Linked DNA regions of Elephas maximus indicus. The protein of the gene in region 1 interacts with the protein of each later gene in a biochemical or structural test. Links are inferred from orthologs where the notes say so. Each region holds a gene or a part of one and is shown on either strand. Other genes may lie near its edges. The genes, in order: GLG1 and SELE.

Region 1 (3,915 bases):
ATGGATATGAAGACACTCTGGGAAGATGTCATCTCTCCTAGGAAGACTAGTCACTAGTGTGTGGTGAAAAGAACCAAACTTGCCGGGAGGTGCTGCTGAAAAGATGCTGCATGCAGAACAGCAGGAACAGTTAGGGACATGCAGACTTAACCAGAGTCCCTAAACAAGCATTTTGCTATTTTCGTCTTTTAAACATGAGTTTAACTTCTAGCTTAGAATCAGGACTTTGATGCACAGTTTCACAGTTTATTAATAATACTGGCTATAACTTTTTTAGGTCCCTGTGGGTATTGTAAGCTAAGGGTTGCTAGGATTTGGAATCCACTAGATGGCAATGGGTTAACAGGTATTGTAAACCCTGGTGGCACAGTGGTTAAAGGACTGGGCTGCTAAGCAGAAAGTTGGCAGTTCAAACCCACCAGCTGTTTGTTGGAAAAGGATGTGGCAGTCTGCTTCCATAAAGATTATAGCCTGGGAAACCCTATGGTGCAGTTCTCTGCCCTATTGGGTCACTGAGTGGGAATTGACCCTACAGCGCTTTTTTTAAAATTGTGGGCCAGGGTCTCTAGGTGGTGCAAAAGGGTTTGTGCTCTATTGCTAACCTAAAGGTTGGTGATTCTAACCCACGCAGTGCTATGCAGAAGAAAAGGCCTGGTGATCTGCTTCATTAAGATCACAGCCAGAAAACCCTGTGGAACAGTTCTACTCTTTAACACATGGCAGTCGCCATGAGTCGGAATTGACTTGAAGACAACATTCTGGGTCACCACTTTTCTTATTTCCATACTTCGCAATTACATGTTAAATAGAGCTTCTCCTCGTCTTTTTTCAGATAAGAAAATGAAGTTCAGAGAAGTTAAAAAGACTTGTCTGGTCTGCCGAAACTCAAGGATTATAACCCAGGTCTTTTGTGGCTCCGGAATTTGTGCTTTTTTATTCAGTACTGTTTTGCTCTTTGGGTAAGAAAGGCTTTTGAAGCAGATGGAAGGGAAGGAGAGATGCAAGAGAGGCTCTTCGTTTCTAGAATACTGGTTGTGTAAAGTTCACCTCTACATACATAAAGTTACCTTTTTTCCCCCAAAAAATCATTGAACCGGCTACATATTTCACCGGCCATCTTGGTTGTGGCAACCCCAATTTCTTTTTATTTTTCTGTGATGACAACCAACGGAATTAGGCAAAGCTGCCCTACCCAGGCTTTTTACGGAGCGCCAGCAACTCCCCGAGTAAAGAGCGCCTTTGGAGGCCCGCGGAAGTCCAGGGCGTGGGCTTCTGGAGCCTAGCCACCTCCCTCGCTGTGCTCCCATCCCACAGGTCGGCGCCGGCCTGGGCGGGGCTTTGTGGGCTACGCCGGCCCACGCCCCGACGCCCCGCCCACTATTTAAATACGCGGCGCCGGCGTGTGCGTCGAGATCGCCGCGGATCCAAGATGGCGGCGTGTGGACGTGTACGGAGGATGTTCGGCTTGTCGGCGGCGCTGCAGCTGCTGCTGATCGCCGCGGCCGGGGCCCAGAAAGTCCAGGGCCAGGGCGGCCACGGCCAGGGCCAGGGCCCGGGGGCCAACTTTGTGTCCTTCGTAGGGCAGGGTGGAGGCGCCGTGTCGGCGGTTCAGCAGCTGCCTCAGTCACCTCAGCTCCAGCAGCCTCAGCAGCAGCAACCGCCTCAGCCGCCGCAGCCGGCGTTCCCGGCGGGTGGGCCTTCGGCCCGGCGCGGAGGAGCGGGGGCTGGCGGGGGCTGGAAGCTGGCAGAGGAAGAGTCCTGCAGGGAGGACGTGACCCGTGTGTGCCCCAAGCACACCTGGAGCAACAACCTGGCGGTGCTGGAGTGCCTGCAGGATGTGAGGGAGGTGAGGAGGCGGGACGGGACCGGGAGGGCCTGGCCTGGTGCAGGCCCGAGGGTGTCGCCGGCCTTGGAAGGCGCTGACGCTGGTCTGCTGCTGCTTCGCTTCCTCCTTGCCGCGCTCGATCCTTTCCTCCCTGCCTCTCACTCCCTGGCGCATTTGGGCAAGAGGATCCCACCCCACCCCTCCGTTCCTTGGCTCCTTTTTCCCTTCCTGGTGCCGGGGTCTGGAACGTAGATCCCAACTCGCCTCGATCGGCGAAGGCCCAGAGCGTGTTTGTTTGCTCCTGTCTTTTGTGTGATGCTCAGTGCAGAGTGGCTCTTTGCCGAAGACCGGCTTAGGATTTTGCCATTCCGTTTAGACTTGGGCAATTCGCAGCAATACGTTTATACCTGAAAAATGGTTGGCGTACTTAAACTGTTAAAGAATGATCGGCTGCTTGTTGGCAGTGGATAAGGTTTTTTAGGTAACTTCGGTTCTGTTCTGATGTGTGTTGTAGTCAGCAGGAGGATTTACTGTCTTTACCCCATTCTTCACCCCGTGTTTATTTCTCTGGTGCTGAAACTAATGTATGCCTTTTGTGCTTCACTTCTTTTGGTCAGCTTGTAGTGAATCTATGTTTAAGCTATTACGCCAAGTGACTTGGAACCCTAAAGCGTGAAAGGTTGGGGCAGCATTTGAAGCTGTAATACTACACAGTATTTGTGATTGGGCCTTGGGGGCTTGCCTTTCTGACGTCTGAATATGATTTTAACGGTAACTCTTAATGAGATCTAGATTTGCTATTGTTTGATGTGATTCGGCTTAGTGACATTTGAAATTATTTTTCTAGATTTATTGCTACAGACATAAGCATGTGTTTGACAGTTCTCAAAACTGGGGAGCAGGTCTGATAGGGATACTTTTTCAAAAGATGATGTTGCTAGTTGCCTGTGAGTGGATTCAGACTAGTGGTGACCCACCCCACGTGTGCAGCGTAGAACTGCTCTATATGGTTTTCAAGGCTGTAACATTTTGAGAAGCAGATTACCAGGCCTTACTTCTGAGGCATCTCTGGGGGAATTTGAACCGCAAGCCTTTCTGCTAGTAGTCCGGTGCTTAAACATACATTATTAGCCCCAGAGATTGACAAATAGAATAAAGCTGTTGCTTGGTACGGTTTCATTTAGAAAATTGTGTCACCAGAATTGTCCAAGGTATTCGAGGCCACAGGAAGACCACAGGTTTGTAGAAAATTGCTACTCTTGGCAGTTTCGTCCACTTCATCCCATTGTGAGAGTTGCTGTATGCAGAATAATTCAAAAATAATTCAGAAAAGACACAGATAATCAGGAGACAGAGAGGGAGGAAGTTTCCAGAACCACTAGAAATAGGGGCCTTAGATGACTTCTCATCTACAGCTCAAAGACTAAAAGGCTAATCCCTTGCCATTCTTTATACTTGAGTTGCTCTTCTAGAAGCTACAAGATTCTTAACTCTACCAGGCTTTTTGGAATTTTCTGTTTGGTCTTTGAGGATACAGAAGTTGCTTCCTTAACGTAGGGTAATAATATTGGTGACCAAAGGCCTCAGTGGCTTCTAGAAGAAACAGGACATTATTAGAGAAAGTGCCAAAATGTGGCCCATTCAAGGAATGCATGTCCCTTCCTTTGAGCACATTAGGGACGTTGGAAACATCCAGCAGGCTTCCACAGTGTTACATGTGGAAGTGAGTAGCCGTATACATTATCTGTAAATAACTTAGATTTGACTAATTTTGGAGCCTGTTTAATTTATTGGGTACTTTAGTGTTCTTTTTTTTTTTTTTTTAAAGAACCTGGTCTGGAAATTTAGTCCTAGCTCTGCCATTGATTGTAAAATTCCCAGCAAGGACATCATTTCAGTAACAGCATTTTTCTTCCTTTATGGGGATGATATAGCAACTCGTTAACGGTAGGTACTAGGGTAAAAAACCCATTGCCCTCAAGTCTATTCCGACTCATAATGACCCTGTAGGACAGAGTAGAACTACCTTTCCAAGGAGCACCTGGTGGATTCAAACTATTGACCTTTTGGTTAGCAGCTGTAGGTCTTAA
Region 2 (3,915 bases), on another chromosome or scaffold:
GTCTGATCATCATCTTTATTTTAAAACCGAGAAAGCGGGGGCCCAGGGACTTTTAGGGCCTTGTCAAGGTACTAAGTGGTGAACCTGGGATTTGAACCCAGGAATTGCGACTCCATAGCCTCTGCTTTTCACCACCATTTTACACTGCCCCAGGGAAGGGAAGACATGTCGATCTGACTCCAAAGCCAGCTGAGACGTGAAGGGAGAGGTGAGAGGTGAGACCATGATTTACCTTGCTCACAGTTGAGTCCACTGAAGCCGGGGTCACACTCGCAAGTGTAGTTATTGATGGTCTCCACACATTCTCCGTGACCACTGCAGGACATGTTGGAGCAGGCAGCTGCGGGAAACAGTTCTGATGAGGGCCAGGCTTATGCCGACAGGAGGTGCATGTGAGCTTAGCATCAACAATGTGCAGTACAGATGAACTCGATGAGACAGTGCCAACGATTTTCATTTAAAGTGCTTAACAAAACGCCACATCTGAGTCTTAGGTTCATCTGTTTTAAACCCGAATGTTAACATGTGGCACTCCAGAGTTAGCTGCAGCTAACACCTAGCATACGAAATTCACATTCTGACAGATATTGGGTACAGTTCCACTCCGGCAGGTGAAGAAGTTACTAAGATATGTATCATGTGTGTACACACTCTCTGCGTATGTAAAAGCCACTTGATGGGTGGATTCCGGCTCATGGGATCCCCATGTGCGTCAGAGTAGAACTGTGCTCCATAGGGTTTTCAATGGTTGATTTTGGGAAGTCACTCACCAAGCCTTTCTTTGGAGAGTCTCTGGGAGGACTGAACATTTGGCTTAGCAGAGTGAGTTAACCATGCGCACTGCCCAAGTACACACACACACACACACACACACACACACACACAGTCTTGGCTAAATTTATACAAAGGAGCAAAAAGAGATACTTTACTCATTAAACAGAACTTTTTAAAGCTGTATATTTTAGAACATAAAGTAGCCACAATAGAGATTGGTTTTTGCCTGTTGTAAAGGATTTGTCAAGACATTCACCCTGGAAACTAGTCTCTCTGCAGCCCCAAACTCCCTACCTGTGTAGCACAGGGCCAGCTTCTTTTTGTTACAGCTCTCATCGTTCCACATGCCCTCATCCTTCCCTCTTTTGATGTAGATCTCCACGCAGTCCTCGTCGTTTTGCTTATTGTTCGGTTCTCCGGGAGCCCAGTTCTCAGCTTCTGGGGTCAGAGGCTTCTGGGTCCCTACCCAAGTCCACACACCATTGACCTTTCTGATTCCAATCCAGTAGTAACTTGGTGAGTGGCTTAATATGGAGTTCAAGTACTTGATCTCTTCTTTGTTTTGAATCGCCACTAGATCTGTGTATTGCTGACAGTACTCCCTTGCCTCATCGTACGTCATGGTTTGCACGGAGGTATGGTAGGTCCAGGCCCCGCTGTCTCGAACCAGGAGGAACGCTAGGGGGAGACACAAAAGAAATGCTAGAGGTTAGTCTTGCTGCGATTCGACTCCATCAACTGAGCTCTTTGTTTTCTTAATTGTGGTGCGTTTTTCTCCCCAGGAACCAATGGCATATATGCTTGAGCACAGTGGCCTTCGTTCGCTTTTCAGAATTAAGAAAGTGTGTGTGGAAAAACGGCATTTATTGTGAGCCCCCTCTGTGATAGTCCCTCCTGAACTCCTCCGCCATAACCTACTAGCCTACCCACTTTACAGTAGACTAATAGAATAACGAGGCTTGGCTGAGTGTGTAATATGTACCGCCGAACACTGCCTGAAGCACTGTACTCGGCCACCTACTGAATCCTCACGGTGCCTCAGGAAAATGGGCAATTTATGATCAACACTTTGCACCTGGGGAAGGTAAGACAATGAGAGGTAAATTGCCCCTGTTAGTTGCCATAGAGGTGATTCAGAATCATGGCGACCCCATGTGTGCAGAGCTGAGCTGCTCCGTAGGGTTTTCAAGGCTGTGACCTTTCAGAAACAGATCACCAGTCCTGTCTTCCGAGGCACTTTTGGATGGCTTGGAGCCACCAACGTTTCAGCTAGTAGTCTAGCGCTTAAGTGTTTCCACCACACAGGGACTCCAATTGCTCCTAGCCTAGGGCATAATACATTGGACCTAAAGGTCAGGGATGGTGCCAAACATCCCACAACTCACAAGATAGCATTCCATAACAAAGTACGTCAAGGTTGAGAAACTCTAGCCTAACTGACAACACTGACTTACCAAAAGAGAGAGCAGATAGGAAGTGTCCAGCAATCATGACCTCCAGAGTTGTTTTTCTCAAGGGGTTAGACGAAAAATACTTCTCTGGAGAGGAAAAAGTACAGAATTAATTATGGAATGAAACTCTGGGTAGCCAGTTACTCATGTCATTTTACAATTATGGCTTTATGGCAGCATTATCAGATTTTAAGTCAAGAATTCCAGTGCCACAATCTTTGTGCACATCAAAGACGTTTACTCAAATGAACAAATAACATTTCTGATTTTTCGTCATTTAGGTGAAAGAGAAAGGCCAGGTTTGTAACTAGTCAGTAGAATAAGAGCTTGCAGAAGACCTTTTATTGGAATGCCTTTACATGCCTGATCACATTGCTAACCTGTTTCACGGCCCAAGTCTGCCCCTGTGAAGACTTCTGCACTTACGCTTTCCGAAGCAGTTGGACAGGTGTCGAATCCTCTGTGCTGTGTCACACCGGCACTCCTGACGTGAAGGCAGCCAAGAACAGCTGAGCCCTGCCCCTGCTGGCGTTGCTTTATACGAGTGCTGGCTTCCTGTGCATAATAGGAGGATATGTCCAAATTGAGCAAGGAGGAATTCCCCAACAGCATCCAAAAAGTTTCCCGGGAATATCCATAAGGCTAAAAATTACAATGATGTCAGAAACTGTGCCGCTCAAACTAATTCTCCTTTGTCCGTTCCTTTATACTTTACATGCAATTCTGTTACTATGACATGAATTACGATTTTTCATTCTGATAACATAAAATGTGGGTTTTTTAAAAGTTTAAACCATTGATTATTGGCAGTATCTCTCATGTTATCATGGTAGTAATAAGAATTTTGAAACGTAAGCAAACTAAGAATAGTTTTGTTGTCCGTGGAATGCTACCCTCAATTTTTTTATCAGTAGCTGTCAATAACACATCTCCACTCACTTTTTCATTCTCACATGCCAACTCAACTCATTTTACCGTGCGGTGCCCCAGAGATACGCATCACCAGCTGTGCACTGGTCCTCAGGTTCTGTGCACCTGCTGTGGCTAAATTACTAAAAATTGTATCTTCCACTTCAACGCTTGACATAATGCTGCCTTAAAATTTTTTTTTAATGGGAAAGAGTCTTAGATGTTCTTGTCTGGAAAATGGCCCTGATTTGTTCAGTGAAGAAAGAAATAAGAAAAACTGTATATACTCATATTTAATTGACACAAACTTTTTTTATTGTACTTTAGATAAAGGTTTTCAGAGCAAACTATCTTCTCGTTAAACAAATAATGCACATATTGTTTTGCGACATCGGTTGCCAACCCCACAACATGTTAACACTCTCCCCTTCTTGATCTTGAGTTCCGCATTACCAGCTTTCCTGTCCCCTCCTGCCCTCTCATCCTTGCCCCTGGGCTGGTGTGCCCATTTTGTCTCATTTTGTTTTATGAGCCTGTCTAATCTTTGACTGAAGGGTAAACCTCGAGAATGACTTCTTTACTGAGCTAAAAGGGTGTCTGGGGGCCATATGCTCAGGGTTTCTCCAGTCTCTGTCAGACCAGTAAATCTGGTCTTTTTTTGTGAGTTAGAATTTTGTTCTACGTCTTTCTCCAGCTCTGTCCCAGGACCCTCTGTTATGATCCTTGTCAGAGCAGTTGGTGGTGGTAGCCAGGCACCACGTAGTTGTGCTGGACTCAGTCT

What was found.
Region 2: the proteins of GLG1 (region 1) and SELE form a complex in vitro, tested with the Homo sapiens proteins (2 studies listed by BioGRID and IntAct). The link is inferred for Elephas maximus indicus from reciprocal best matches to the Homo sapiens genes GLG1 and SELE.

Annotation. Positions count from the first base shown.
Region 1 is NC_064839.1:40,477,387-40,481,301, reverse strand, and holds the start of GLG1 (Golgi apparatus protein 1), read left to right. Parts: upstream 1-1,399; 5' UTR 1,400-1,429; coding exon 1,430-1,846; intron 1,847-3,915. UniProt on the Homo sapiens protein: Binds fibroblast growth factor and E-selectin (cell-adhesion lectin on endothelial cells mediating the binding of neutrophils).
Region 2 is NC_064821.1:214,286,649-214,290,563, reverse strand, and holds the start of SELE (E-selectin), read right to left. Parts: upstream 2,754-3,915; 5' UTR 2,652-2,753; intron 2,313-2,651; 5' UTR 2,266-2,312; coding exon 2,229-2,265; intron 1,453-2,228; coding exon 1,069-1,452; intron 341-1,068; coding exon 233-340; intron 1-232. UniProt on the Homo sapiens protein: Cell-surface glycoprotein having a role in immunoadhesion. Mediates in the adhesion of blood neutrophils in cytokine-activated endothelium through interaction with SELPLG/PSGL1. May have a role in capillary morphogenesis.